3 linked regions of the Medicago truncatula genome follow. The main gene of each other region encodes a partner of the protein of the gene in region 2 in a complex. Links are inferred from orthologs where the notes say so. Each region holds a gene or a part of one and is shown on either strand. Other genes may lie near its edges. The genes, in order: sister chromatid cohesion 1 protein 2, sister chromatid cohesion 1 protein 4 and sister chromatid cohesion 1 protein 3.

Region 1 (11,472 bases), about 26 Mb from region 2:
TTTATAACAAAAAGAAAAAATGATAAATTCAAACTTACAAGTAAACAGAGATTCATTGAATCTATCCAGAAGACTGGAAAGCTGATATTTTCTGTGTTTATCAAGCAAAGAGAGACCTAATGGTCTTCGGACAGAGACCAAGTCACTTGCATCAAGTATGCTCCTTTTGAGTACCCTGAAATGGATCAAAATGCAGCGTGTTCAGTCAGAGTTCAAAGTAACACTATCTTGAGGGCAAAATGAAGACTTGAAAGTCCTAAAAAGAACTGAATTAATAAAAACTCAAGTCCAAAATATATATTAGAATGTAAGAACTTCAGATATATAAAACTATCCTTTTGAACTAGTCCTGTGTTCTAGGAAGCAAATAATAAAAACATTTAAATCTCAATGACATTAAACAACTTCAGACATAAGAATGGATAGCAAAAGAGCATGGTTGAAAAGAATAATAGGTAAGAATATTTTCTGTATTTATTATCTATCACATACTCAGTAGGCAAGACCATCGTTTTATCAATAACAAATTTTCTTTTCCTTGAAAAGCGAGCAGATTCGGTTGCAGTTGGTGTAGGAATAAGCTTAAACTCCGACGTAGTAGAAGTAGAACCTGCCAAAATAGAATGTTGAGTACGAAAAAGAAATAAGTAGAATAATGAAGTACATACGAAAAATGAAGAAAAACATTCAGTAGTTGCATTTTCAAAGATTCTATAAAATAATGGTTTTATAAACCTGGTTTTGGCCTTCCGATTGAACCACCTTGAAACTTAGACTGAGGAGTTGGATCAAGAATTGTGGACTCTGCAGGATTAACACTAGATTGTCCATGTTCAAATGAAACCTTTTTTTGAACTTCTAAATTTCCTTGAAACTTAGACTGAGGAGTTGGATCAACAATAGACTCTTCAATGAGTTCTCCGGTGCACTCTTTGACAACAGAAGACTGGTTGTGAAGAAAATTTTCATTTTCTTGGAAAGCTAATGTTTCATCAACGCCAACATTTTCCAGATCCATTTGGCATAATGATCTTAATGATTCCATTGCCATATTATGCTCGATACCAATTTGTCGAGACTCATTAAAGGATGCAGAAGGTAAAACCACTTCCTTCTGTGTTCCCAAAAACATACTGATATCTGTTGATTCCTCTTGAGAGATTCTACTCTCTTCATGGAACTCGTCCACATTTTGACTGGATACGCGGAAAGCTAGTGTTTCATCAACGCTAACATTTTCCTGATCCATTTGGCATAACGATCTTAATGATTCCATTGCCATATTATGCTCGATACCAATTTGCCGAGACTCATTAAAAGATGCAGAAGGTAAAACCGCTTCCTTCTGTCTTCCCAAAAACATACTCTTATCTATTGATTCCTCTCGAGAGATTCTATTCTCTTCATGGAACTCGTCCACATTTTGACCGGATATGCGGCTTTGCAATATATCCTTGCTTGCCAGTAAATTTGTTGAACTACTCGAAGGAAAAGCTTCGAAGTCAAAGTTCAGCAATGGAGTTTCAAGAACACTGTAATATGCATATCACAAAATCAATAAGTTTGATGGAGAAATTATTCATTGATTCTAAAAGATATTCAGCAGCATGAATTCAAAATTTTCAAAAATTGAGAAATGTACTTTTCAGCCATAAAGTGGTCAAGAGAGCAGCTAGTTTCACCCAAACCAAAATCGTCAAACTGCAAATCACAAAAACTAAGATTTTTAGGATTGCCAATCAAAGAATCAAAACAGAACTGTTTCCATATTTTCTAAAGTCATCAAATCTATTGTTTCGTAAAGTTAATACTGTCAACAATATGAAATCAATGAGCTTATAACATATTATGACTTCAATTAAGACGGAATTCAATTTAACTGGGTGATCCAGTCCAGTCATTCAAACATACATGATGACCATAGTTATTGTACAATTATTCAACTCTATTTAATACAAACTTATACCGAATTATATCATATAGATTTTGTAAGAAAAATGTTATTAAATATTTTCTGCCTTTGTTTTTGCTTCATTATTATCACAAAATTCATAATTGAAGTAAAAAGTAAAAAACAATTGCACGACATTGAATGTAGTGAAAAACTATGAGGTGGTTGTCGAATATGAATGTCAAAAGTACCAATTCATTTAAAAGTTTACGCTTTTAACTGGAGATTCAAGCAAATATAGCATCTTGTATGCTGATAGAAACCAACTGGTATTACTAGCGAAAATACAAAAAATCTCAGAATAACAAATTAACAAACTCCTTAACTAACTAACTAACTAACTAAGCCTCTTAACCAAGGTTCTCAAACTCTGAAGTTTACGATTCTAGGCCACAAAATATTTTCTTGAAGCGGGAAGTAATCAATAAGAGCTACACATATATAAACAGGGAAAAGAAAGAGCATTTATTAGACAGACACGATTCAATTGGACATATATTTGCAAAGAGCCAAAGATAAACAAAACAGTTACATTGATCAAGTTAAATGGAAGAAACATCATTCAGATAATCCTCAAAGGATTGATAAACTATAATGTAAAACCATGGAACACGTACCCTCTCCTGAGAAAACTGCATGAATCCCGCAGTATTTGACAAAACATCTGTTTCATTTCACAGTATATTACGTAAACATTAGTACAAGATTAAACATTTACTATGAAATTAAAAAATTAAAACAATTTAATACCTTTTAGAGTGATTTGTTCTGGGAGAGCAGTATGGAATCTGAAATCAACAGAAGACAAGTTATGCAATGCTTAAAACAAAGAAATGTCCCTAACCAGTTAAACTTCAGAAATTAATGAAACCTTACCTGGAAGTATCTTCAGGTGTACCGAGATCGATAGCATCCAAATCAAATGTTTCTGGCATGATAAAAGACATGCGCAATTTCTCCACAGGTGTGTTGCTCTTTGTTTTGATCACAAATTTGTTGATTCCAAAAAGCACCTTGTTGCAATCATCGAGTAGATACTCAACCTGCTTTGAGTATATTTTAACAACACCAGAAAGAAGATATCCGAGCAGTCGATAGGAAACAGCATCCATTTCATGATGCAAAATCTGGTCTGTCGAAGGTAAAATTTGAAAAACATGTTAGCTAGATTCTACATGGAGGATCATAGCTAGAGCTTACAACATCGTTAATAATCTAGTTCAACTCGCTTATAATCCATATTTAAGTTCTCTTTACCGATCTTTAATAATATATTTAGTAATAATCAAATAGATTAAACTAGAAAATAGGATAAGCTAAATCCGATCAAATAACACACCACATCCTATCTAAATAACAACCAAATCCTATGTAATATATCAAATCAAATCAGATATTAACTAATTATAAACTACATTTGATTATATTTTGATATTGCCCTACAGGGAATCTATCAAATTTGACTCATTAAATAAAAGTTAAAATGCAGATGCTTCTCTTAGAATGTATGTTTGAAGCCTAATTGAACGACCTAAACTAAACTCCTAGTCTATGTTTCATGTTCAATTAAGCTACTGTTATGTTTCATGTTCAATTAAAGCTACTTGCCTAGACCTATAATTTATCTGGGAATTAGGTTTTATCAAATATCACAATGTCATAGACAAAAATGTCTTCCACCATTGATTTTCACTGCAGTTTATCCAAAAACATAAATAAACTCAATAACATGAACAAAATTGTAAAACAGTCTCCCTGATCACCAACTTTTTAAACAAAACGATGACACACCAACCAATTAACAAAAAAATACATTCTTTTTAACACAAATTTCCCAAATAATTTAACACAGAAAAAAATCACAAGTAAACACAAAAATGAAGAAAAAAAATTAAACACAAAATTAAATTAAAAAAAAACACTAAAATTCTCTGATCACCAATGCATTCTTTTCTCATTCAATGCCCCTTTTTACCAGAAATTTCCCAAATTAGTAAAACAGAAAGAAAAAAACTAAATTTCTCAAACCACTTACAAACACAGAAGAACATCATAAGTAAACACCCAAAAAAAAAAAAAAACTGCAAAACAACCATTTTCTTGTCTCTCAATGAACCAATAAACAACAAAAACAGTTAAATTTGTAACTAAAAAAAATAAAAAATGTTGTTTTTCCATCATATATTACAAAACAAACTGAAAAAAAGGGGAAAGGGTAAAGAGAAAGAGAGAGAAAAGACTAACCCACAGCAGAAGAAATGTCACTATCCAAAATTTGAGCTTTCTTAAGTTGTTTGAAGAAAAAAGCTGCAACCCACAATGGATTTTTACTTGAACATAACCCTTTCTTAGATTTCAACATTTTCTTCTTCTTCTTCACAAAGTACTATGTTGTTTTCTGTCTTTGAATGAAAGAAAAAGTGTACTATGATGTCACTTCACTCTGCTATGTTTCAGAAAACATTGTATGAAAATAAGAAACGGTCGAGTAAAGTTTGCCACACCAAAAACAAACTACTTATATATCAACTAACCTTTCTCCAAGTTCATGAATCAAACAAAATTTACAATAAAATAATATTATTTTTTATTTTTGTTATAATGACAATTAAGGTATCTACTATCTACTTTGACTATAAAGTGTATTAAATTTATTTTATTTTCTTATGAATAAAATTTCTAATTTTATTTTATTGCTTTATTTCATTTTATTATTGTGTTAATAAATGATTTTGAAACTTATACTCTTTTTATTTTTATTTTTTTGACAAAATTATCCTCTTTTTCATTGTTATCTAAATAATACTAAAAACACATTTTATAACACTTTTTTTTTTTGACACATTCTCTTTTATAGATGTTTCATAAAATTTATATGAAACCCACCAAGTTTGGTGGGTCATATAATCTTTAACGAGTAAAAAATATGAGTCAAAGGAATATAGGTATTGGCACAAAAATCAAAACAACAGAAAGAAAAAATAAAAATATAATGAAAAAAAAAAAAGTTATCATAAAATAGTTGTTCAAATATCATTTATCTTAAAAGAATATTTACATATATTTAGTTTTTATAATGTCATTGTAAACATACATCTGTCATTGTAGACATTGAATTGACAAATTAAATTGTGGAATATGTTTGTATTATTATGTAAATAAAAAAATTATAGAAATAATATTTAGATGACGTATAGTCAATACTTACTTGATAAATTTCAAATATTTTTAAAAGGAAAGCATATGCATTTTTATTTTTTTGAACAAGGAAAGCATATGCATTTATTACAAGGTGCGTTAATTTATTTTATTTTCTTAAAATAATTTTAAATGATTGATAGAGAATAATAATATTATTTGTCAAAAAAAAAAGAGAATAATAATATAAAAAAATTAATATATTTTTTTTGTAAATTAAAAGCACAATAATGTTAAAGAGAATGAAATGTGTTACAGCTAGACTCTAATAATTAATTTGTGCTCATGTATATTAACAAACTGGGGGACATTAATCTAACTCAATAAATCCACACAAAAGTTAATCTAAAAAATCTAAAAAATTTGTGCTCGTATATAAGAGAAAATTAATCTTATAAATTTATGATGTATTCCTATTATTATAAATGCAAAGTAAAATATATCAAAAGTTATATATATATATATATATATATATATATATATATATATATATATATATATATATATATATATATATATATATATCAGTAGGATCTTATAGTCAATATTTTACTTTTATTTTATAAAGTAATTATAAGTTAAATGAATTTACGTGATATAGTTTCAAACATTTTTAAGAGGAAGGAAATTGCATTAATTACAAGGTGCAGTGAATCTATTTTATTTTCTTAAAACTTATTTTTCCTTTTTAATTATTTTTTTACAAAGTTTTTTTAATTAGGCTTTGGTGATAGAAGCTAAATTTAGTTGAGTGATTGATGCTCAGGGATGAACTTTGTCTTTCGGTTGTGGATTCCCTTATTTTTCATGTAGAGTGTTACATATGGTTGTTTTAGGATTTTTTTTAGCAGCATTAAGAAATGCATTAAATTAAAGATTAAGGTAGAAAGGCCAAGAGATAAAAATGTTGAGGAAAAATAAACTTGTTTGGTTGATTGGATGTGTTATTTACAATATATTATACTAATATGTTGTGATCTACAATGATAAGCCTTTGCTCGACTAATTTCGTAGTTTGTGTGTGAAAACTCCCTTGCTGGTGGGATCGTGAGCCCCCACATTAGACTTCAGTTTCTCTTTCTCAACATGATATATTGACAAGGTCCTTTAGTGCACAGCTCCATGGAAATCGTGTCCTCCCCCTCATTCCTCAACGCGGTTTGTGGTGTTATAAACATGGTACACAAGTTTCCCGCATCTTTGTATAGTCCCACTTTGTTTATTACTTAGTTTTGAGGTTTCAACGTCTCACATACTGAGTTAGTGGCCTTGAGAAATAGTCATCTCCCTCGCTCGGCTGCTTTATCATCAGTTAACCTTCAATCGACCGGAAGGCTCCCTAGCCAAATAGTTCAATCGCCTATTTGTCGAGCTCGGTTAACAAGATAATTTATTTAAGTGTAAATAAAAGCAACGCCTAAATCGTATCATTTGTTAACCCTTGATAAATGAGTTTATGTGACACAATTAATAGAGCTACGCGTGAACAATGTCATAATTTCACCTAAAGTAGGGAACTAGTCGTTAGAACCTATTACTCGGCCTATGATATGTCAAAACATTAACTCTTGCCAATTGACTTAACCTAACAATAGCCTTGATTGTCCAACTAATTAACTGATTCACTTTCCTAATCATTAGGTTGTTGCTTAATTAAAGTATCAATGGCCGATATTTTTTTCTCATTTTATTTCCTCTTTCTCCGAAGCAATCTTTCAAATTCCCATCTCATGTTCCCTCGTCTCTAATACTCAAAATGGCTGCCCTGAGATCAATCAAATTACTTTCCTATCCTGATTTTAATCAAAGGTGGTTTCTCCATATAGTTACTCTAAAAATAATACGATGCTCTGGCGATTTTGTGATGAACAGTAATTTACCATCTTCTAGCCTCGTACCAACCACCACCACCATGACCAAAACCACCTCCATGCCTAAAACAAACATCTTAATACCTTGGACATGGTTCACAGATAACACCCAACTTAAGATCGCTACCAAACCACCACCCCAACCCAAACAAACAACTCAAAAAACCTTCGAACAAGCCTTAAACATTGTGTACGAAATACATCTCAGCTTTATTCCAAAACCATGTTTGAAAGGCAATAAAACAGCTACGCAAATCCTTAAGGATGGATATGTCAAATGATTGGAAACATGCAAGAACAATTTACATGCATGCTTGATCTTTCCCAATGGTGCAATCTCTTTATCAATTGTTGCCTTTCATGAAAAGCTACAACCCTTATGGAAGAATCTAGGACGATGGGGAGTAACTTCTCTAGATAAGGGCTATTATGAGCTCTCATTCTCTTATCTAGAGGATGCAAGAAGCGTAAGAATGGTTGTCTCTTGGAACTTGAACCCTGGTTTATTGATGCTTTTTGCTTGAACCCCTGATTTCAACCCTAGTGTGCAGAAGAGTACATCAACTCATGTTTGTTTTTTTCTTCTTCTTTGGTCTAGGTATTGGAGACCAAAGATTCTTTGGGCTTATTTGGTTTATTGGTCCCTTAATTAATTTTCAGTTTTCATTTTGATCCCATAACTAGGCAGACTATACAAGTGATGAGGCCGTTTGGATGTTACTAACCTAATCGGTCGTTAAACTGCACTTACTGGTCACAAGGTGATCCTCACGTGTGGGGTATATACTTCTCAGTTAACTAGGTTTATCCCCTAAAGTTTAGTTGCACCTGTTGGTCACACGGTTATCCTTACGTGTGGGATCTTACCAACTCAAAGGTGATTGAAAGCATAGAATTTATATTGGGTTTCCAAGATTTCCCAAGGCAATGAAGGCCAAGGTTCCTGTATGTCTAGCCATCTATTAATCTCAGGACACTCATAACACACTCTCTCTCGCACTTAGTAGTTCTACAAACGGGAAACTCTATCAGCCTCTACCTTACCAAGGGTTTAAGAGAATGGTTCTGCTAGGCTACAACTTATTTCCTTCAAGCAAACACTTGTTTCCTTAATTATTAACTAGTTACCTCCTTGGTTCAACAGATTTTACTCAATATCAGTAATATCACCTCCTAAGTACTTACTACTAGGTGGCTCAATTGTAGGATTTACAATTTTTTTCATTGACAAGTGAAGCATGCTCATCTCTTAAACTTTCAAAAGCTTCCTTAAGTTTAGAAATTTCAGTTTCTAGTTTCAAAATGGTTTTCTTTTGAGCAATTAATTTCTCAAAATCAGTCAAGGATTGTGCATGCATTTCTTCTATGGAATATTGTAAATCCTTATAAGTAGGTTTATAATCGGAGTAGGAATCAGAGTCGGAGTCGGATAAGGTTACCTCATTTTTAGCTTTCTTCATATGACCCATGAAGCATAAGTCATATTCTTCATTGTTTTCGGTGTCACTGGTATTATAGGTTACTTCATCTTTTTCCCAAGCAATGTAGGCCTTCCTTCCTCTTGATTTTCGGTTGGATCCGGATCTCCCTTTGTCCTTAGCTAGTTCCGGACATTCATTCTTATAGTGGCCTACTTTTCCGCAACCATAACAGCTAACAATTTTCTCATCCTTTTCTAATTCTCTTGCATTTGGCAAAGCCTTCCTAAAGTTGACAAGGTTCTTGTCATTGTGCTTTGGCCCATTTATCTTAATGTATTGGTTGTATCGTCTCACAGACAAGCTCATTTTTTCTTCATTGATTGAATATTCATCGGATTCATCTTCATTTTGAACCAAAGAGATGGACACGGACAAATTGGTGTTTAAAGCAGTGGACTTCCTTTCCTTCTTCTTTGAGTATTCCTCACTAGATTTCAAACGGATAATCTCATGTTCATGTTCCTTTAGCTTTCCAAAGAGTGTGATCATACTAAGAACATTGAGATTTTGCGCTTCCTTGATAGAGATAAGTTTGGGCTGCCATTCCCTTGCCATTCATCTCAAAATTTTGTTAGTTCAGTCTTGATTTGAAATGTCCTTACCAAGGCTTTGCAACTTGTTAACAATCTGAGTGAATCTCATTTGCATATAGGAGATGGATTCACCTTACTCCATGGGAAAAAATTATATTGTTGAACAAGCGTATTAATTTTTGAATGTTTGACGTCGTCGATTCCTTCGTGAAGGGTTTCCAACGCATCCCACATAGCCTTAGCGATCTTACAATGAGAGACGTAATGATACTCATTCAATCCAAGAAAGAAAATGAGAATGTTTCGCACCTTCAAATCATATTGTACCTTCTTTTTGTCATCATCACTCCAATCGACTTTTGGCTTTTCTAGTGCGACACCATTGGCAACAACTTGCGGTTGGAACCGCCCATTGACTACGGCATCCCACACGTCCATGTCGACCGATTGAATATGAACACTCATGCATTATTTTCAATAGTCATAATTTTTTCCGTCAAAAATAAGTGCTCTATTGTAAGCCCCATTGGCCTCTTTATTTGCCATATCGATAAACTCTTCCGGTAGTTAACCGTTAGTGAAGAGACCAAACTCTAGATACCACTTGTTGGTCTATATGGTCAATAAGGATGTGTGCTAAAAGGGGGTGAATAGCGATTTAAAAATGTTACGGAGTTTTGGCGAAAGTGTTTTGAAAGATATTAACTTATTGGAAATATGTTTTGAACAATCACAAACTATGACAAATTGTTAAGACTATGCACTAATAAGATTTACAAGAGAATTGAGAGTTTCACAAGCTAAATCTTATTTCAATCAATTACTAATAATACTTGAACAATTTGCAAAACAAGACAATTTCAAAACCAAGCATATAAGAAAATATAACAAACTAAAAACCAAAAACACAATGTATATGCAATTGATGAATTGGCTAGGAATTGAAACTAATTGATCCAAGTGAAATAGTGAAAACCTAATTCAAGGAATTAGGCCAATTTTAACCAAAAAGAACTTAGATCAAAATCAATTTATATTATATCAGCTAATCAATTTAAGCATATACAATTATCAAAATTAAAGAGGATAAGGAAGAGAGAACGACACCGAAATTTTTATAGTAGTTCGCCCTTTTGTCCTTGTTTTGGGATGCTCTACTCTTCTTGGTGAAAAACACATCCACCAAGGACTTCCACTAATAGTAACAATGTTGAATTACAAATGTAATTACAAAAGTTCCTTGAAACTATCCTAGTTCTTCAACCCCTATGTAACCACTCCAAAAAACTTCAAATACCCTTTGAATTTGGTGCTTCTTGATGTCTTTGAATCATCAATCACTAGTGTGACCCTTCAAGCTCTTCACTTAAGCTCTTTGATGCTACGTCCGACAATTGGAACCCCTTGAACACAAGAACAATTAGAAAGAACCCCCAAGACCTTTCGAGGTGGAATGAGATTATTCACTTCACTTTAGAACCTTAATTATGCCAAATCAATTTCCTTGAAAGAACCAACTTACAATCCCTATAGCACCTTAGCAAATCTTATGACTCAAAGAACAAAGCGATTCTAAGAAAAAAGTGTTTAATGTTAAAGAATGTATGAACAGTGAGTTTTTGAGACCTAGATAGAATAGAAATGATTCCATAATTTGAGTGTTATGAGGAAGTGAGTATATATTGAAAAGGAGGGTAAGTGCAAATTTTCTTCCAAAAACAACTATGTGAATTGATTCACTAAATCCGTGAATCAATTCAGACAACTAAAAGATAAAACTGAAGATAATGAAGATACTATGAAGATTGACACATATCATACAAGATTTGAATCGATTAATAAATCCCAGGATGAAGGTTGATACGATTCAAACTGATATTATTCGAATCAAAGCAAGTCAGAAAGATTTTATGATACAATTCATGCATTTATGAGTCGATTCATAAGTGATATGATTCAAAATAGCTTGAATCGATTCACCCCAAGTCAGAGACTTTGGGTGATACGAATCAGACAGTAGTGACTCGATTCAAAAGATCAGAAAACAGTTTTAGACAGAAATGAGGTTACAAGGGACACTAGTAAGGTAAGCAAGGAAAAAACATAGAGATGTTGATGAACCATAGTTTTGCTAGGTGCTTTAACAAAATCTAATCTAATTTAACCAGCGTAAAATAACAACGTAAAGCATACATAAAGCCTAACAACATCAAAACAAAACTTGGGACACAAGAAAGCTTCACTAGGAGCTTCAAGGGAGGAGTTTCTCTCTCATCACTCCAAGTTTATAGGTTATGTTTTATTTCTTTTGTAATTTGTCTTTAGTTACCCTAAGTAACTAAATCTTTTTAGGCTAGGGTTCTAAGATGAACCTCTATTATGTTTGTTGCGTATTTATTTAATTTAAAGTTTTTATTCAGTTATTTCTCGAATGTTAT
Region 2 (10,705 bases):
CCAAATTTCCCTAAAAGCTCTGACTTTCTCTCTTCTTCCCTAACTGGTTTGTTCATCTTCCACCCACCGTAAACATCATCTGCCGATGTCGTTTGATTTATCAGTTCCTTATTCCAGTCTCCCTAATCTTAAATCCTAAATTAATTACCCTGCAAATATCAATACCTAATAAATGGGAAACGTGATGCCATTTAAATAGTAAATGTAATCCCCGAAATCAATTTCAAGTGGTGAATGTTGTTGTTAATCGATAAGAAATTTCCAGATCTCATTTTAATATATAGTCTCCCCGCCATCAGAATCCGACCGTCATGGAAATGCGCCAACACCAATAAAACATGGACGGGATTGGAATTGATGTTTCTTTTTCTCCCAACGTTGTTCAAAAATTATAAGAAAATCGAAATGGTGGTCACTGACTTTGTTAGGATCCAATATGAGGTGGTGTTTTAAGTAATTAGTAGGTAGATAGTTAGGTTTAAGTAGATTATTAGTAAGTGGCCTATTAGGATCAGAATTAAATAATAAGAGGCCCATTAGGGTTAAATACAAGAATGTTCTCTTTATTTGTATGTAAAGGGGAATTCTTAAGAGTTTTAGAGTAGGACGGAATAAGTTTTCTGTTTAGGGCCAGAGTAGGATTCCTCTCTGAGTTGAGTCGGAGCTTTGCTCTGGGAGTAGTTAGAGAAACTCTCTCTTAATAAAACTTCCCTAGTTTCTCTAACTACTCCCAGAGCAAAGCTCCGACTCAACTCAGAGAGGAATCCTACTCTGGCCCTAAACAGAAAACTTATTCCATCCTACTCTAAAACTCTTAAAGAATTCCCCTTTACATACAAATAAAGAGAACATTCTAGTATTTAACCCTAATGGGCCTCTTATTATTTAATTCTGATCCTAATAGGCCACTTACTAATAATCTACTTAAACCTAACTATCTACCTACTAATTACTTAAAACACCACCTCATATTGGATCCTAACAGACTTACACTAACTTTTTGAATAATTTATAAATTGGCATGGCTCTTCATGATAATGTATGGTTATTCAAATGGAAGAGAAATTGAATATAAAACACAAGCATGAGTAAGGTTAAAAAGCAAGTAGAGATGGAACAGTAGACTTGTTCCATTGGAAGGGAGATGAAACAAAAGACTCAGACGAAAAAGACAGTTGAGATAGACAACTGGCACGTGAGATACTTTATTAAATGCTTTAATATGAGCCATCCATTTTAATCTTGATGGTTGAGATTCATTCTTATCATTCTCATATAAAATGTCATTTTCACTAGATATGTCCCCTATATATATGTGTGTGTGTGTGTGACTCAGATGTCGTGCCACCAACATGATACATCTATGCTTCTATTCATAACTTGACAACAAAATTGTAACGTCAGAATCAATATGTTGGGGCCTTGAAACAATATTTGTATTTCAATTTCAGCAATCCACACCATGCAGAGTGCCAAACAAATGCTAATTACCTCATCAAGGTCTAAACCAATTTGAGAAGCATCGCCATCTCCAAAGCGCTCTGAAAGATGTGCTTGATGTCAATCATTGCTTATAAGCACAGATTTCGTTATTTTATATTTAAAATTCACTATCAAGTGGCCAGTACAAAGATAAGGGTAAAGTAGAATACAAACCATCCAATCCAAACTGTGATGTTTTGTAAACCATGCCCTCCAAAGTATCTTGCAGTGTAATCTGCTCCTTACTACTGACATGGCGATCAACATAGTTACTGCAAGTTCACAAAACATATATAATCTTCTGTTAATAAACCTATAACTCTTCCACAGAAACCATCTTACATGAAATCACCTTTAATATAACCAAATTGGAAAAAACACAAGAAAATACAAGGTCTGCAACTTAAAACCAAATTATGTAACTAATTCGAAATTTGTTTCTATCAATCATTTGAAAATACCCAGGTAATAGCTGATACATAAGAGCATATAAATCTCGAACAATCTTTCAAATGAAACAAAATAGATTAACTTAGATAAATATCAGCTCAATTAAGCAAAAAATGTTGCTGCAGTAACAACAGCTGGAGCTACATGAAGTCATACAATCAAGTATTATAGAACTTACCCTTGAAAAATGTCACTATCTGGCAGTTCAAAATCATCAAGATCGAAAGTCTCGGGTAAGGTGATGGAATTGTAAGGTGCAGTGGACTCTTCTGGTGGCAAATCAACTGCGGCGGAGCGGAAAGCTTGCTTTACCTTAAGCAAGGCTTCACTGCAATCATCGAAAAGGTAATTCACCTTTCTAGAATATATTCTTACCACACCAAGCAGAAGATGACTGGATAAACGGAGTGCAATTGGTACTTCAGGAAAAAGAATGGAATCTGTTCATTCATAAAAGTGACTACATGAATAATGAATAAACTGAAACAATTATACGTAGTCAAAAGAAGACAACAATAAACACAGCACATGCATGTCAAACGTACTGAGGAATATCAATTCCCCTATAATTTGGAATTAATCCCCTCCAGAGGGCTCATAACAAAATTTGGGCAACAACAAATATTTCATGCAAGCATTAGCTAATAGGTAGTCCTTAATTCTTCACTGCATACAGAGTACAGACACATAACTATTCCTTGCCTTGCTTTTTATAATCAGACTACAGATATTAAAACAAGTTGCATGGCGTAAATTCACTGAGAACAATTATCACAGCCAAGGTTAAGTCTTTCATTTGGAAGGTAGCCTTTAGTTCAGAAAGAGCTGCTCACTTTTTTACACTATCCTGCAGCAGGATCAATCTGAAATAGACCGATCTAGTGTTGCCATTGCACTCCATTTCTGCCTTGATAAACAGAATCTGGAATAAACCAACTTAAGTGTTTTGTTGTCGGTTGGGTATGCCATCTTAAACTAGAACAACTTCTTCAAATAAACTTTAGGGGCTTCATTATGACTACGGAGGAGACTCTTGGGAAGTCAGCAATTACACTGTTCCTTGAGGAATTTTCCTCGTGGAAAATGGTTGTGCATTTAATTTCAGCCAATAAATCTGTTGTGCAATTCAATGTTTTTTATTTTACTCTCTGTGCACAGCTTATGGTCTCTTTTGGGGGTGTCTACAGCAGACATACAAGTAGATTGGAGTAGATTGGAAAGCTCTATTGTTGAGAATATTTGTCCATCTATTCTTTCTTTCACTTTTGAGCTCTCATTTTACAACATTTTCTATTCTTGTCGTTCCTTTAATCAATTTTATTCTAACCTCTAATGATATACTTCTCTACCTAGAAGACAATAAAAAAAAAAATCCAAAGCTAGAAAAAGAGAATCCATTATCTTAACCTCCAATTGAGATAACGGGCAGTATCCTTCGTTTTAGGTGGATAATCAATCAGGTACCATACCTCAACCCACTCTAGTTAGGTTTACTTCAGAAAATTTGGTTTCCCACTTCCACAAAGAATAATATACCATTATATCTTAGAGTATTCATAGCACTCTGAACTATCAACAAAGGTTATACAAATTAGTTTGAATTAATAATGTCATTCTTTAAAAGGATAGAATACAATTTATGATTTAAATACAGCGGGAAAAAAAGCAAATACACGAACAAAGCAGGATAACATATCCAGTATCCCCACAGAAATAAAATCATTAATGATGTTTAATGTTAAAAATATGCACAACAACACCCTAGAGCTCGACGTATTATTAGAATCCTATGCTCCTATCGACCCTAAGGATGATGTCAACAAGTCTAACCATTAGCAAAGCACCACAGGTCCATGAGGATATGAGGGGAACTCTTTACTCTACTAACATATGACATGGGAAAAACCCAAAAACTTTGCCCATAAAATCTTCGGAAATACTTCAATCACTTGAGTTGCAAGTAACCAAGATTTTACACTACAAAATGGTCAAAGTTGTATAATTATTAATTTGTACTACGCGGTAACCAACTGTCAGGAGATTAAGTATATGATTGGATGAGCATTCGTCAAACTTAAATTCGAATCATCTTGACTTTACAAAATTGATTTTAGTCGTGTTAAGTTAGAAGAAAACTAATTTATGTTAAATAACATTTCCACTAAGGGTAAGTTCATAATGAAAACTGGTTCAAAGCTCAAGTCAAAAGCAACATTCTTCCCGCTTCTACTCAAACGTGGATTTGACAACAAACGTAAAACATCAAAACATGCTTTTTTCGCAAACGACGATGTTTAATACTGCCGATTCTAACATACAATAAAACCACAAGAGTTCAAATCTGACCTACAAGGCAAAAGCAACATTTTCCACTTCAAGTCAAATGCAATTTTGACGACAAACTTAAAACATTAAGACATGTTCTTTACGCAAACGACAATGTTTTATATTGTCAATCCAAACAGCCAATAAAACGACAACAGTTCAAATTTGACGCGAGTGGATCAGGAAGCGGCAAAGACCAGTGTGCTTATAACACTATAGAAACTAGGGTTTTCAAAAATTAACTACCATCATAAATATCTACCTCACTAATCATGCTAAAATATCAGGGAATCAAAATATCGAAATCAATATATAAACAAACTAACTAACGAACTTACCTACAGAGACGCCAATATCCGTATCCGCCACCTGATTCTTTCGGAGCTTCCTCTCTAAATGTGCAGCTATCCATATAGTCCCAAGTGGACCTTTCTTCGCCAAAATAAACTGAGAGTAAAACATATTCACCTAAAAAGAATCACTTTTTCCCAAAATCAACACCAAACACAGCTTAAATCTCAATCCCCATCTACAAACACACCTAAAAATACAAAAATCATAGCCACTTCGTAAAACCCCTCTTTACAAACCCTAATTTCACTTTCTCCAAAATCAACCAAACCAAACACCAAATAGCTCAAAACCTAACAGAAAAATAATAAACTCGCGAGAATTAAGCTTTTAGTAACAGGTGAAGCTGAAGATCGAAGAAAAACGAAGCGAAAATGTGAAGAGTGTAAATTTGAAGCTGAAAGTTGAGAAACCCTAATTTGCAGCTAGGGTGAGAATTGGGGAAGAATTTGTTGGGGGAAAACGAGAAAATAGGAAATTTTTTGAGGGAAAATCGGTGAAATTGAAAATTGAGTTGAAATTTGAAAGAAATGAAGAATGATTGTGTGAAGAGCGCGATCGAGATTTGGTTCGGTTTTAATTTTTATTTATTTGAAATAAAAATTAATAATTAATCGAAGTCGTGAAGCATATTAGTGTTTGGTATGTCGTCGTGTCAGTGTCTGATTGGGTTAACGTAGTGACTGAGAGACAAACATGCACGTTTACTTACACTTGTTTCATTTTTTTCTTTTACTGCTATGTTTCCACTTCCACTTTCTACATTAGTATCAGTTGTATTTCCTTTTCTTGTAGTAAACTTTTTTTGTGTCGCAATTCCCATTTTGGTCACGAGTACCATTATATGAAGTCTAATTAACGGTAAAGAACAAAAACAATGCATCGGATGTTTACACACTTAACAACACTTTTGATCCGCTATATTCTAGTAAATTTGGCTCAATTGATAGGGATATTGCATATTATATGCAATGATTGAAGTTCGAACTCTAAATACTCCCTATGTGTCAGCTTTAGCTGCTAAGCTACTTGACATAAAAATAAAAAAAACACTTTCGATCAGCTCATGTCTACTTGAAACTATATGAAGTCTAACTAATGGTAGAATAAAGAAAACAGACCATGCATCAGATATTTACACGCATAATAACACTTTTGATCGGCTCATATCTACTTGAAATCAAGCAAAGGTTGGGTTGGGGTGAAACCAACATTTGTAAACATTTAAAGAAAAGAAAAAAAAAATATTCATCAGATGCCTTATCATCCATAATGGTATATGTTAATGGAATGACATTCTTCCTCACATCCTGAACAATTGCAATTAGTAACATCTCATGATACTTAACATACAACCATGTTCGATCAACTTAACGAACTGGCTTGCAATAAGCAAATCCCTTGATGCAAGGTTCCAAACTTCAAAAGAGACGTTTGAAGATAAACTTCCTTTGAACAACATGGATAGTTTTAATAAAGGAAAAAAAACTAATATAACAATTGACATACTAATATATGTCATTTAAAAAAATAAATATCCTCACTAAAGGACATCATTTCGATATCAATAATAATTCCTAGAAGATACTATCGAAGAGCGATGATTTCTTGTGGAAGTTTTTCCCAAATGAAAGTCGAAAATAATTGTCGACAATCTTGTGAAACCATTGTTGATGCACATGTATGTGGCCCTTGTAGTTTTATGATCTTCTAAACATGTGATTTCTTGCTAACTTATATGATTCTACACCTCTACCCTCTACATACAAATTTCATAGGTACAATAGGCAACCCATCTAGTCAGCGGCGGATCTCTTTGGAGACCCATGGGAGCCACTGCACCCCCAACATATCAATAAATTTTATATTATGCATCACATGTCAATTAAATTATGGTTGTCGCGTTGGTTTGAAAATCTTCCAATCTGCTGGAGGTCGTGTGTTGATCCTCTCGCCCTTATCATATTATATTTCCATTGTATTTTTAATATATTTGTTCAAGTTCAAAAAAATGTTCCTAATGAGAGTTGAACTGTCACCCCCCACATGAAAAACAAGCAAAAGAACAATCACACTAGTTCATTATATCGATATGTTTTTGAAACTGTTTAATATTTATTCCACAAATATTTGGCACCTCCAACAAAATAACTCAAGATCTGCCACTGCATCTAGTGGTATCAAGGTGTTCTACCACGAAGTTTGTGACTTTTTCTTATGATATTTTTTTATGGACCACATTGTCATTTCTTTTGTGGTTAAATTTGTCCCTTCTTGTAAGTTGTTAGGTTATGCATTGCCTTCATCTTTTATGTCAAGCAACTAGTCAAAATATTAACACTAAAAAAACACATATTTTTCTCCAAAAATGTTGTTAATCAACTTCAATATGATATTATACAGCATACTGCTTTCTCTAAAGTTAACAATTTGGAAAAATATATGGGGGCAAACATATCATTGGAAATAACTGATGTCATTTTAATCACATTGTGCGAAAAAATTCAAAACAAGTAAATTGGTTGGTAGCAACAATGTTCGAGTTTAGCCAACATAGTCAATATTCTAAATTTGCTCTAATTTGTATTATGATATGCAATACATGAAGATTCATAAATCTATTTGTGACGAGATTGAGAAAATTCTGTGTGGTTTTATGTGGGGACATGGATAAGACAGACTCATCACCAATGTATTCCATGTCTCTAAATGTCACATTACAAAAGTGTGAAGGAGGGTAAAAGAAGTGAAAGTCTTTGTTTTCATTGTCATTGATGACGTGTTGGATAAGAATGTCATCTTCATTCTCACATATCACTGACTTCTTTGTCGTGGACACCAACTCCAACAGTAATATGAACAATATCATTTGGGATGTTCAAACATAATGATGAGTTAAGGTCAATACCATGGGTGGATTCTGATGGCCAGTGTGCCGATGAAGAGAAAATGGAGCGATGATTTGTTTGTGTTTTTGATAAAAGGATATGGAGCGAGGGTATGAAAAAAGTGTTGGTTTAGTATATGGTGGCTCTTCTTGGGTTTCGTCACAGGGAACATCCACCAAACCTTTGTAAACCGCCATTGTTGAAATGCCAAGATGTTTACAAGTCGTGAACATTTCAAACATTGTAGGAAAGTTTCCATCTCCAATAAGATTTAACAACTCATACCAAACAATTCTTTGAACAAGAGTTGTAGGGTATCAATAAACAAGATTGACACCTTATTTAAGTTGATTGGTTGAATCTTTGTCTGGATACATTGGACAAGTCTATGCAGTTTGATGTTTTTCTTCGATTAACAAGGATAAATTGTTGCATGAAAATGCAACACCTTCTGTTTTGTCCTTTCAACATGTCCGTTGAAATATAATTGGACAAAAAATTCTAACACATCTATGTATGATTGTGAGTATAATTTCGTAAATAATTTTGATTGTATGGGATGGGTGAGAAGTTTTGTTGCATAGTAAATGAGGGGAGGATAATTTCTATTTATATTGGATTTGGATAATTATAAAAACTTAAAAGGTAGCTCAACTAGTTTAAAATAAATGTTAAAAAAAATTGAATGCTCTTGGTAGAAAATAAACATTAATCTAACAATTAACTAGTAATATTTGTCATTCAAAAATTAAAATTAAAATAACTTAAATTAATAAATAATTAAAATACGAATTTAATATTTGTTTTATTAATATAAAAAGGGAAGTTGAGAAATTGGTCCCCACAAGCTGATTTGTCACATAGCTATCGGGGAATACTTACCTACAGTTCCATACATGCTGTTCAGCCGGTTCTTCAAATGATTTTTCATTAAACGGTATCGTTTAAACAATTTTTGGTTGCATTAGTTGATACAGTTTTCGGCAGTTTTATTTTAAATTAGTAGGGAACCGTGTGAACAGTGTGTAGACACATCATGTAAGTATTTTCCTTAAAAAAATGGTACTTAGTCAATGATGTGATTATTGTCCTCCCAAACATATACATGTCCTACAAAATTGGTGTGAATGATCTTCAAATCATAGAAATTGATAGTACTTTTTTGTAATTTGATGGTACAGTAAAAAAGACTTCAAATAGTCATGCCAAGCGTGACTATAAACTAGTTTGTCATCAAAGAAGATAATGGAAAATTTTCTAAAGCAAACTTAAAATACATGATTGGTGAGTGATTTAAAAGTGACAAATGTCTTAATGAGCTGAGTAAAAATAGCAAATTCTCAAAATGGCCCCTGAGTTTTGGAAATGTTCGCTTACACCGTGTTTGGTAGAGAAGAAATAAGAAAGAGAGAAAGAGGGGAGAGAGAAATTGGGGAGAGATAGCTAATCTCTCATGTTTGGTTGAGAAGAGAGACAGGGAAGACATATAATACCTGCTAATTTTTTCTTATTTTCCATATTTCTCTTTGCTTTTGATCATATGGAGCCACTATTTTATCAATTATGTTTTCAAGTTTTTTGTTGGTTTAGCTGGTCGTGAATGAAAGCAAACCAAAATGCAACTCTATCCCTCTTTTATTATATATATATATATATATATATATATATATATATATATATATATATATATATATATATATATATAATTAAACTACTAAAATTCACCACTTAGCTTATTAATTGATTTAATTGACCAAAATAAAATATTTTAAATAATTAATTAAGAAAATAAGTTAATTAATTTATATGTAAGAAATTAATTATTTTTGTATTATTATTTTTATATGAAGTTAAATTCAAATAAAATAAATTTGTATATTAACTTTTTTGTATAAGGATATTTCAGTCATTTTAAAAATTAATCACACTTCTTTCTCCTCTATTTCTCTCTTTTCTCTCTTGTACCAAACACTATGTGAAATCTACTCTATTTCTCTCTTTCCATACTCTCTCTCACCTCTTTCTCTCTTCTCATTTTCTTCTCAAAACCAAACACACCCTTAGTGTCCTTTAAATTGTTCACAAATCCTCTAAAATGTCAAAAATACTCTTATTTTAAACGATGTAACTGTCAATATCTATTAGTTGAGGACCATTCGGAGCTCCTCCAGACAAACACTAGTGAAAATAATAAGGACCTTGCTAATTAGTAGTGTTCTCAAAGCACTAGTTAAGAAAGTAAAAAAATAGAGTTTTTTTTTTTAATTAAAAACAACAATTTTTTTGGCTTTTATCAAGTTGAACATTCTACTTTTACCATTTTCTAATTTTTATATTAATTTTCTTAACTAATGTCCGGAAACACTAGATAGCATTTTCTAAATAAGTAGGAAGCTCGACGAGGGAAACTAAGCAACAACCAGTTTTTCTATAGCTCAGTTTAACTTAAAGAACCTATTGCAACATGAAATCCAATGAAGAATGAATCTTCCGGCAATATTGATCTTAAAATATCAAATTTACGATGAGTGCAACAATTTCTATGATGTCCATACATATGCTTGAAAGAAATACAAAAATAAAATAAAAATAGAACAATACTTAAGGTGCAGGCAATTCTTAATGTTTTACTAAATTTCACAGTTTATGGTGTGTTTGTTTCAAGTTATAATTGTAGATTCGTTGGAATAAAATCATAAAAACATACATGCATATGTTTGTTACAAGTTTACTAAATTTTATTCCCGGGTATAAAATGTTCATGGGAATAGAAAAAAAATTCCAAGGAAAAAGGTGGGAATAAAGTTCCTAGGGAGATGGGAATAAATTCATAAATAGTTACTTATTATAATCGCTATTTTTATGGTTCCTAGGAATATTATAAAGTTAACCAAACATATTTTTCCTAAATACCTTGCAATAAAATTTTCATCTTTATATTCCAAGGAATGTTATTCCTAGAAATAAATTTGATAAACTTAAAACAAACACAACTTATTCCTGCAGAAAGTAGAGTATTGGAAGTTATCTTCCGATGCGCGGTTTGTAACTTCCGGCCGATTAAAACATAAGCATTTTTGGCTTTTTACTGTGTCTATGGGACACAACAATTTCTTTAGTTTTGCTTGCACTATTCATCGGCAACCATCCTTGTTTGACAACACAATTAATGAAAAATTCGTCGATTAAACTTGTTGCCTATAAAAAAA
Region 3 (11,039 bases), on a different chromosome or scaffold from region 2:
GCTATTAACTTATACTTACTTGAAATGATTACCATGGGTCCGTAATCTATCCGTATAGCGGTAAATACTTACGTGCTTGCTCTTATTGATACATGTCTTGACGTGTTTAGGTTACATAGTAACATGGCTATTCTCGACTATCTAAGTCGAGGCTCTATGAGTTTCCCAATGCTTAGAGGTTAGGTTACTACCCGGCATGATTAGTATCATATACTCTCGTGTGCCATTCATTGTCGAACAATGTTAATGTTTCATCATGCATTTCCCTTTTAAAAGCTTAACTTGGATTGTACATTAGACACTTGGAAATTGAGGGGTTTATATGTTATAAAAGACTGCACAAAACGGGCCTCTCGGACGGCCCTTGCCGGGCCTAAGAACGAGCCGACGTTGTTGCTGGAGTTTACACGCGATAAGCGAGTTTTTCGCGTATGGCGTGTTTCTTCAGCCCAGAATTTGCAGAACACGTATTTTGGCTTAAAAACCTCAAAATCAAGTCCCTTACTGCACACTATCCATCCAGAATGCATAAAACCATAGAATATGAAATGCATGTCAACATTAACATAGTTTTGGGCAATTCATGGCACAAAGGGGTTAATAAAACCTAATTCATAAACTAACATAGCATGAGTTCTTACAAAAGTACACACACACAAACCCAATGGTATGAACTAACTAAGAACTCACATGTATTTACTGAGATTTGCTTCAAGCTCCTAAGCTTCTACACCAAACCCTAGCCCATAGCTTATCACAAACAACTCGATTCCTTGGGTTCAACACAAAACCCATATCAGTCCCCTTACTTCAAACTCTCCTCCAGGCCTCAATGCTGAACCTAAAATCATGAAACCGATACCAAAATGTCGGGAATTTCGTTAGCTAACCATAGCAACAAAGTTCACGTGATTTGAAGTTACAGCAAGAGAGTTCTTACCGTTTTGGTGAAGCCCTGTCCCAAAACCCCTAACCAAATTCCAGCAGAATTTACCAACTTCAAATGCGTTTTCCGAATCCGTTTCTAGCCCAAATCATACAAAGTTTGTGTTCAAACTGAAGGGAATTGAATGAGGAATCTAAACCTTCAACAATAATTCAATTCCAAGCCATACATAAAGATATACGAATCAAAAACCAGAACTTGAGCTTACCGCTATTTCATGAAACTCAGCCATAATCCCCACAGCCAAAAGATACAACACCAGCTCTATCTCTAACAACTCTTGGGGGTCAGCTTATGCTCTTAGAGATTCTGTCACACAAGCTCATCCCCAACGTGATTTGAAACCCCAAGCTTCAAGCAACTAAACTCAACCTTAGTGCTATCTTCTCCTTCAATTTCATGTTTCTACACACCAACAAACCATAACCAAAGCTTAAACACACATGCAGCAACCATAAGGGCTTAAACTTACAATTTTCCCAATGGACATAAGTGGAAATAGGGCTCGGCTGAGAGGAAGTGAAAAGTAACATTGAACTTATTTTTAGAGCTTATATGTGATGAGAATCAAGTTGGTAACATTGCATGTATGATTAAAATAACTTGGGTGGAAAACTTGTGAAGTTGGTGGAAAGGAGACTGGGAAAAGGCTTCAGCTGGAAAGAGAGAATGGAGTGGATGAAATGAAATGACTATATATAGTGCTTAGGAGAAATGACCATCTTGCCCTTTTTTTTATTAAAAGTCTTGCTAAGCCACACTAAAGACACCGATAACCGAACATGTGTGTTTAATTGAAACTGTATGTTAAATATTCTCCATTAAATAATTAGGTAAGTTCTATGGTACACCCAACAATTTAAGTGTATTGGTACACCAAATCCTTAAATTAATACTCCTTCCGGTCCTATTTATAAGAGAAAGTTGACTTTTTAGATACATTGAATAATTTATGTATCTAGTCAAGATCAATCTAAACCAAATACATAAATTATTTAATGTATCTAAAAAATTAATTGTCTCTTGTAAATAGGACCGGAGGGAGTAGTTAAATGAGTTATTTTTTGTAGGAAAAAATTATTTTCTATCACCTATAATTATAATAACTAAATCTTATTTACCAAAAACGTCAACGCAATAAAATTTGATTTTTCTGAATTCTTATTACTCATAATAGAGAATTTTGAGTATTTTTTACAATAAAATGTAAAAAAATTAGTATGATTTTTAGAAAAAATGAAATGGTGTTTTTTTTTTTATATAAAATGATATTTTCTAAAATATACTCCCTCCGTTTTAAAATATAAGCAAAATTCACTTTTTAGGTTCATTCATTTAATGATGTGCCATTAAATGAATGAACCTAAAAAGTGAATTTTGCTTATATTTTAAAACGGAGGGAGTATATGTCAACAAACACTTATTTTCTTCATAAAAAATGATAGTTAATTTATAAAAATTAAAGTGATGGTACCGGTACACTGTAATTTACGGGTGTACCATAGAAGTCCCCAAATAATTAACCCTTCATAATATTTCTTCTTTGACACGTTCACTGATACTGCGGTCTGTCGAGAATTTAGCTGGATGTTACATTCAAAGTAATATATTCTATTATGGGAAATACATCAATAGTTAATAAGGGTAGTTTAGTAAAAGGGTTATATTTTTAGACAACTTTATTGCATTTTTTAATATGTATGCAGAAACCTTAAATGACATTCGTTTTGAAATGGATGGATTATTAATTAGAGTATAAAATTGAAAAAGAAGTAATTAATAATGTCTTGAGAATCAAAAGGGTCATTCATTTTAAAACAATTTTTTTTTTTTTTTACAAATGAGACACTAATTATCAGAAAACAAACTCAAACACTCACACTGCATCTTTGTATCAATATCATTCTAAGTGTATTTTTTTAATCATACTAATTCTACACAGTGAAATTAGAATTTATCTTTATGTAAGAACTTGTTTAATCTTCTTTGGGGTGTAAAGAAGGATTAAGTGAGTGTTAGTAGTCTGAATAGGATGTGAAAAACTTGTGTAAGCATGTCGAGGCATTGAGAATACAACGTAAATGTCATCAAAATCATAAGTTGAAGGCGCGGAGAAGCATTCTTAAGCATCATATTAAAAATTGTGGGGATTGAACTAATCCACATTCAGTGAAGCATTATTATCTTGTGTTTTACTCGCTTATCCCTACTCTTTATTTATATATTTAGATCATTAAACTTATATCACACACCAAATCACTTTAATTGAATTTGTGCACTTCCATGCTTCATAATCATATTTGTCTATTCTCATTCTAAAGTTTAGTTTAAAAGATAAAAAATTAAAAGGGTCGCGATCTAAACCTCGTTTTCTTGTGACTATTATTTTAACTTCATGGTGGGTTCAGAATTATGACTTCCCTCACCAGAAGCTCTTGCCTTAGTTTGAGAAAGTTTTCATCAAAACACTTTATGGCAAGTTGGTGATGGTAAAAAAAATCATGCTTGGTTTTGACAAGTAAAATTTTATGGTGAACAATGCAATCCACCACGCTCAGTCTTCTTTTGTAGTGATCGATAACACTTTGAGGGTATGTGATATCCTTAATGCATGCAATAACTGTGACGAAGGAGTGACGAGTCAATGTGATATATTCTTCGTGATTGTATTTGTATGCATGTTACTCAAATTTGGTTTCGATTAATAGATTCTAAAAATATCACTTGCTTTATTCTCGAGTGGGACGAAGGAGTGGATCTTTTAGAACATGTAGAGATAAAGGGAATGCAACAACTAACATATCTTGTTCGAGTATATTTATGGTAACTTCTTGGTCTTTGTGGAATTGGAGAAACTGATGTATATTTGAGGAGGGATTTTTTTTTGTAATTTTGTAATAACAGTATCTAAGAGGTACTCAACCATTTATATAGAGACTCTTTAACAAAATATTTAAATGAGTTCTAGGAATAACTTTTTATCATTTACGTTTCAACAAAAGCAATTCAACAATCATTATTTTATTAAAAAGTGGTGTGAGGTCCACTTAAGAATGAGAGTCTTAAGTGAGACCTTGGGTCTTAAGAGACCTCCAATTTTTTCCTCAATGAAGGTACCTATTAGATACTAGGTCTTAAATGGTGAAGACCTCACCATTGAGGATGATCTATGTAATTGTCGAGAAGATTCACAAATTTTTGTGAATAAGGTCAATAAGGTAGATTGCGAGGACAAGTAACATATTCTTTCCAAAAAGTTGTCCAAGAGACTTAATTTTTTTTATAAATAAGATAAGATACGCGATCATTTTCTAAAAATAAATAAAAAAGAACAAAAAATTAGGAATAAAATTTGCAACAACTTTTTTTGACTCAAAAAACTTGTCGAAGAGACTTCACAACATTTTTTTATGGTGGTCGGGATTCTTGCATATATTATGCATTATCTCTACCAACCGAGTTAAGCTTACGAGGACACTTCAGAACATTCATAAATAAGATATATAAGATACACAATCATTTTCTAAAAAAAGAACAAAAAATTAGAAAGGAAATTTGCAACATCTTTTCTGACTCCAAAAAGTTGCCTAAGGACTAAAGAACTTTTATAATAAAATAAAATAATAAAATTACTTGTTAACAATTTTTTAGAGATTTGTTAACAATTGTTGAACTTTGAAGTCTATCATAATCGTGAGCTATAGATATTAACTCATTTAAACTTTTTTAATTATTCCAATTATATCTTTTTAACAATTCTTCTAAAATACTTATTACGTTCCTTTTAAAGGGTTCGTTTTATAATATTAACACAAAAATAGCGAAGTGTATTTTTTAATCTTTTCTTCCTGTTATACCTCATTTTAATCCATCAATATATTTTTATTTTTTTGCACACACTTTCTCTTTCCAACAAATTTAATATGTTATCTTTCTCTGGTAACAAACATTTGTTGGTTACTATCCTTTTCTCCAACATTTTTTTTTTGCACTCTCTTATAACAAACAATTGTCAATTTTTAAATATTTTTCTTCTATCTCATCAAATGCATCTTCAACTATATCATCAGCCGTTCCAATGAGTCTTTCACTCTTTATTCCTTTTGAACATTCATGCAGTCTTTTATTTTATTTTTCTCCCAAATATGTTCTTTTATTTTGCACTTGAAATTTTTAACAATTACTGCTCATTTTATTTATAAAATTTTAACTATTCAATCATTATTATAGGTAACAAAATTTTGTTAAAATTTTAGGATAACAAGAAACAAACTTTGTTTAAAAAAAACAAAATTTAATTTTCCAAATATATAAAGCATTAATTAATTTTATTAAAAAAGATAAGAGTAATTGACAAAAGATATAATTAACAAATCATACTTTTAAAATATCAAAACGATGGTTAAATAGAAACGAAAACGACAATTAAAAAAGAACGGAGAGAGTAAGTTTTATTGTTGGCGGACTTTGTATAATGTTATATTAACAATGTTATTGAAATTAAGATATGAATTTATTAATAGTGTCATCGGAAACATAAACATAGTTGGCTGAATTTGTTAAATAAATATTAATTTGAATATTTATTGAATAAATATAACAATGGTAGTTATCGTAAATTAAGGATGAACCAAGGTGTTTTGTTACAAACCCACACACGAATCGTATCCAACACAACACAACCACACAACTTCCATGACACGATTACACGACACTATAAAATAAAAAGCGGCACTTCAAAAAAACCAAAATTTCATCAAAAATCGCGCGCCAAAAACTTTCCTTAAATAAATAAAACCAATCGTAACCCTAATTTCTTATAAACCCCTAATTTCTCTGAAAATTCTTCAACAAAATCAACACAGAAAAACAAGAAGAATGTTTTACTCTCAAACGTTTTTGGCGCGAAAAGGACCACTCTCAACGGTTTGGATCGCTGCTCATCTTCAACACAGACTCAAGAAATCTCAGTATGCTTCTACTGATATTCCCTCCACTGTTCGTAAGTACCATTTACTTCAAAACCCAATTTTTCAATTTTTTTTTTTCATCTTAAAGTTTAAAAGATTAAATTTTTCTCAAATTCCTATATGGGTTTTGTGATCTTTGGAGGGTTGATGTTGTTTATTCTATTGGGTTTTAATTTTTCATATTTTTTTTATTTTTTTCTTGATTGAAAACAACAAATAATTTTTTTTTGTTGTCAAAATTCTATCTGGGTTTTGAGTTTTTTTCTGGGGGTAATGTTACTCATTCTATTTGGTTCTAGTTTTTCATAAAAAAAATTAATTTTTCTTGATTGAATTATATGTTTTTTGTATTTCATTTGTCAAAAAAAAATGTTTTTTGTATTTCAAAGTTTGAAAGTTTCTCAAAATCCTATCTGGGTTTTTGGATTTTTTTTAGCGGTAATGTTCTTCATTCTAATGTATTTTAATTTTACTATGATTGAATAGAAAAAACTAATTTTTTTTTTTGTCAAAAACCCATCTGGGTTTGAAATTTTTTGAGGGGGTAATGTTATTCATTCTATTGGGTTTTAATTTTTCATATAAAAATTTATTTTTTCTTGGTTGAAAACAAAAAATAATTTTTTGTTCTCAAAGTTTATCAAAACTTGGGTTTTCAGTCATTTGTTGAGATTTTTGAGCCATTCTTTTAGACTTAATTTTTGAGTCTGTTAGTTCCTATTGTGGGGGTGGTGAGGATGTTTATGAATGTTTTTATTCTCAAAGTTTGATAGTTTTTATTTTTTTTTCTCTATTGGGTTTTAATTTTCCTTGTGTATTTGTTCCTTTTGTGAATGGTGGGGTGTTTGTGCCAATTGAGGACCTTGGAAGTTATTGAAGTTAGTAATTTATGAATTTTAATTATTGAATTTTGTTTGTTGATTTTGTTTGTATGATAGTTTTGTTTTATTCTTCTAAACTTGCATTTAGAGATTTTATTTATTAGGTTTTTTGCTTTCCACAATATCTGTTGACATTGTTGTAGACATTTTAATAATCTCAAACTTGAAAAGTTTGTAGCTTGTTCAAAATCAGATAAAATTCCATCTGGGTTTGCGGTCACTCATGATGGACAATGTTATTCTGCAGGGTTTTAATTTTCACAATATAATCGGTGTGGAGCTTTGGTTATAAATATAAGTGTGTTTTGTTAAATAAAATCCCAAAAGAAATAGTGGTCCAACTGGTGAAATCACCTGAACTGCCATTTTTTGACCGGATGATCGGTTTGTTCCCAGATTTTATGTCATAGCTAGTTTCATCCTTTATTGGACCCAATCTGTTTTTTATCAGCTTAGTTTTTTTTTTTTATTGAAATTTCATTTTTTAAGCAATTGTATAGAGGTTCTGCTTTCTACAATGTTTTTCAATATTGTTGTAATGATTAACGTAGTGATTGACATTGATCTTGAATGTTACTTTTAGAGCATATAATGGATCCTGGTGTTCCCATTGCATTGAGGATGTCAGCTCACCTACTCTTAGGTGTTGTTCGTATTTATTCGAAAAAAGTTGATTACCTTCTTAACGACTGCAATCTTGTTCGGACTGTTTTGTACAAAGTATTTGCTTCAGTATCAAATAATACTTTACCTGAGGATGCTAGGCAAGCACCGGTTCATACTATTACCATGCCAGCCACTTTTGACCTTGATGCGCTTAACTTAGGCTATGAAATAGATTTTAACGGGTAGAGTCTCCTTTATCTTTTCATACTATTATCAAAATCTCTATACAACTGAGTTTTCTTTTATCTTTTCATATTATTACCAATTTTTTTAATCAACTGATATAAAATTGGTTATGTCTTAGGTATGAGGATGCTCACATAAGGAGTCAAGATGAGATTACTCTTGCAGGTTAACTAAGTGGATGCATAATTTTAGTTATGTATTTTTTAAGTAACACATGAAAGTTTAAAATATTTTAATGCTATGTGCAGATCGAAGTCCTATTGTAGTGGATAATTATGTGGCTATACGTTTCGATGAGGTGCATGCTTTTTCCTTTCCTTCTCATTCCTTTTATATATATAGAACTTACGACTTTAATTTGAATAATGTTTTTTTTTTTTTTTTGAGTTAGAAATTTATTTCATCTACTTGTTTTCTTGTATTTTTAGGACATACCATTTAGTCCTTCAAATGCACAACCGCTACCAGATTCTGAGGCAAGACCAAATGAGGAAGAGTAAGATTTGTTGGTTTTGGTGTTCAGTTACATTTTTATTTCTGTTTCCTCTTATGAACCAATAGAATAATACATTGTTATTTGTCCTTATAGATATATTCCAAAGAAGAGTAAGTTTTTTGTTGGTTTTGGTGTTTAGTTGCATTTTCATTTCTGTTTCCTCTTATGAACCAACATCTTTGTTTGTCCTTATAGATTTATTCCCCAATCTCCATCGTCGACAAGGGTAGTGGATGTTCAAGATGGTGGTCCAAGTTCCCATATAGAGTCACATACTACCAGTCATACTAGTGATGATAACAATCATATCTTTCAGGATCCCGTTACAAAACAGACATTGCCACCGGAAAGTCTTCGTGATCCTTCCAATGATGCTGTTGAAAATATTCCAACAGATATGGATATCGATATAACTGTTCATGAAAAGGATCAGACTCCTGAAATGATTCCTGAGATCCATGCTGAAACCCCCCCAACTCAACCAGCTAGACCACCAACTCCAGATGCTTCTCAAGGTGGTGCCTCAGATGGACAAGTTCATGGAGGTCAGTGCTTACCTTTCTCTTACATTTACATATGAATCATATAAATTTATAACTGATTTTTTCGTACTCAATCTCAGGGCCAATTTCTGAACCATCTCTTAGGAGTTGTTCTTTCGATGCTGCGATGCTTCCTACCCCTCAAATGGAGCAGGGACAGAGTTCTACCCATCAAATGGAGCAGGGACAGGGTCCTGTCCCTCAAATGGAGGGTCAGGGTCAGGGCGAGAGGCCTCAAAGAGTAAGGAAGAGAAATCAATTCTATGATGACCCCATAGTGTTACCAAATAGGTAATTTTTTCATTGTTTGATTCAACTGCTTTTGTGTCCTGCAACATATAGTTACATGTAGAAATGCACGGTTTTCCCATACTCATTGCTCATGTTGGGATACCTCTATAGAGTCATGAAGAGAGCCCTTAATGATACTCGTAACATACGACGGAGGCGAAGGGACGTCACTACTTTGGGTGCATGGGAACTGAAGAGCAAACGGTTCAAGGAGGGTGTTTTTGACCAGCCTTTATTTACAGGTAGCTGTTCTTTATCGTTCAATCTGAAAATTTTGGTACTTGCATTCCCTTATGAATTTCTCAATTGAAACTTGTGGCTTCTTATTCAGGAATATGCAATGAACTTCTAAACATACAAAGAAGGGAATATATATGTTCAAAACCTCACTTGGTCATCTCTGAGGAAGATCATCCGGATAATACTACTATTACTCCTCCTCCAATTAATCAAGTTGCTGATGAGCCAATAATTGATGCACCTGAAATTGCTGTTGACGAGCCAACAACTGATGCACCTGAAATCGTTGTTGATGAGCCAATAACAGATGCACCTGAGATCGTTAATGCATCTGGTGTGGAAGATATTGAACACATTCGTGACGTTGCTGATGATCAACCTGCCACTATCCCAACTCAAAGTAAAGAAACTGAACAGATTATTCCAAGTGCTTATAGAAGCCCTGTTAAAGGAGGTGTTGCGACTCCTACTTCGGTTTCTGAGGGAATGGACATACCATATGGTGCAACATCACCTCGAGCTCATGCATCTGAAACTGGAACTTCTAGCACATATCATGATAACATATTGCAGAGCCATGACTTTTCAGATACTAATCAATTTATCAATTCTGCTGGAAAAGACGTAAGATTTAACGCCTTTTTATGAATACTTCTGTACAATCTCACTTGATGAATTATGTTCCATTTCAGCATAAAACTTTTATTCTAGTTAGCATTTTTACATGAGTTGAGAAAAAAAATTGAATGAGATATTTATACTTGCATCTTTTTGCTCTCTTATGATAGGTAAGGATATACTTATGACATATTGTTGGTCTCCGTTTCGTTCCATGGTTTAATGAATATTTTCGTGTGACACGTTCTCTTCTGTTCATACTTATCAAACTATCACAGTGCTATCCTGCATGTTCTACCTTGTACACAATATCCTTGTACTGTTTTGCTTTTGGTTGAATTGAAGCATTTCAAGTAATCTAATATCTTATCAACCTTTGTTATTGTAGGACCTCTGGTTTCTCGAAGAAGATAGTACACCAGCCACAGCCAGTATGTTCTATTTTCATGTCATCTGCTATTTGATTCATGACAGTATTTTACTCATGCTATGTTAATATTGGATAGCGAGTTTCTGCAACAGTGATATTATAGTTGACGTAAACGTTTTAATGACAGGTTCACAAAGTACAAGTAGAAGTATTGATACATTGTCTGGGAGGACTAGGTACTTATCGATTTATTACTATTTTAGAATATATATGTTCTTGTTCAAGTTGTTCATATCATGTAACATTAAATCACTTAGCGAAAGGCTCTGGAAAAGCTTTCCACTTGGATTTGTGCCACATAAGTTGTTATGTTAACTTTGTTCTTCAAAATTCCAGGGGTCTAGCTCAATATTTAAAAGATTATTCTCCATGTACAACAATTCCGGAGCAACCTGCTGAAGATTTCAGCTTGAACAAGATCTTGGATGGAAAAACTAGAAAGATTGCTGCTAGGATGTTCTTTGAAGTTTTGGTGAGTCATGACATTTCCAAGTTAAAAATTAGAGATTAAATGATATTAAATTGTTTTACATCAACAACCAATCTCAGCTCGCCAACACAACAAATAACCGTCTTTTATTTAAAAACTGTCAAACTTGATGTGCAAAATTGAAGAGTTACATGATTGGATGTTAGTGTAAAATAACTGTATGCTGACAGTGCATATCCTTAATCTCCAAAACTTATATCTGTATGTTGCATTTCAGGTGTTAAAGACTCATGATCTTATTGATGTACAACAAGAGGAGCCTTATGGTGATATTAGCTTCAAA

The links.
Region 1: sister chromatid cohesion 1 protein 4 (region 2) and sister chromatid cohesion 1 protein 2 share a complex: the UniProt entries of both Arabidopsis thaliana proteins name them as parts of the cohesin complex. The link is inferred for Medicago truncatula from reciprocal best matches to the Arabidopsis thaliana genes SYN4 and SYN2.
Region 3: sister chromatid cohesion 1 protein 4 (region 2) and sister chromatid cohesion 1 protein 3 share a complex: the UniProt entries of both Arabidopsis thaliana proteins name them as parts of the cohesin complex. The link is inferred for Medicago truncatula from reciprocal best matches to the Arabidopsis thaliana genes SYN4 and SYN3.

What each region holds. Positions count from the first base shown.
Region 1 is NC_053048.1:11,360,702-11,372,173, reverse strand, and holds the start of sister chromatid cohesion 1 protein 2, read right to left. Parts: upstream 4,445-11,472; 5' UTR 4,314-4,444; coding exon 4,196-4,313; intron 3,084-4,195; coding exon 2,828-3,083; intron 2,740-2,827; coding exon 2,702-2,739; intron 2,616-2,701; coding exon 2,569-2,615; intron 1,702-2,568; coding exon 1,643-1,701; intron 1,533-1,642; coding exon 736-1,532; intron 611-735; coding exon 493-610; intron 176-492; coding exon 39-175; intron 1-38. UniProt on the Arabidopsis thaliana protein: May be involved in sister chromatid cohesion during mitosis.
Region 2 is NC_053048.1:37,440,030-37,450,734, forward strand, and holds the start of sister chromatid cohesion 1 protein 4, read right to left. Parts: upstream 5,208-10,705; 5' UTR 4,720-5,207; coding exon 4,596-4,719; intron 2,373-4,595; coding exon 2,111-2,372; intron 1,755-2,110; coding exon 1,657-1,754; intron 1,542-1,656; coding exon 1,492-1,541; intron 1-1,491. UniProt on the Arabidopsis thaliana protein: Involved in sister chromatid and centromere cohesion during mitosis.
Region 3 is NC_053044.1:389,758-400,796, reverse strand, and holds the start of sister chromatid cohesion 1 protein 3, read left to right. Parts: upstream 1-5,698; 5' UTR 5,699-5,824; coding exon 5,825-5,948; intron 5,949-7,380; coding exon 7,381-7,645; intron 7,646-7,767; coding exon 7,768-7,814; intron 7,815-7,897; coding exon 7,898-7,947; intron 7,948-8,077; coding exon 8,078-8,145; intron 8,146-8,340; coding exon 8,341-8,690; intron 8,691-8,767; coding exon 8,768-8,978; intron 8,979-9,089; coding exon 9,090-9,220; intron 9,221-9,309; coding exon 9,310-9,842; intron 9,843-10,224; coding exon 10,225-10,267; intron 10,268-10,393; coding exon 10,394-10,442; intron 10,443-10,602; coding exon 10,603-10,738; intron 10,739-10,973; coding exon 10,974-11,039. UniProt on the Arabidopsis thaliana protein: May be involved in sister chromatid cohesion during mitosis.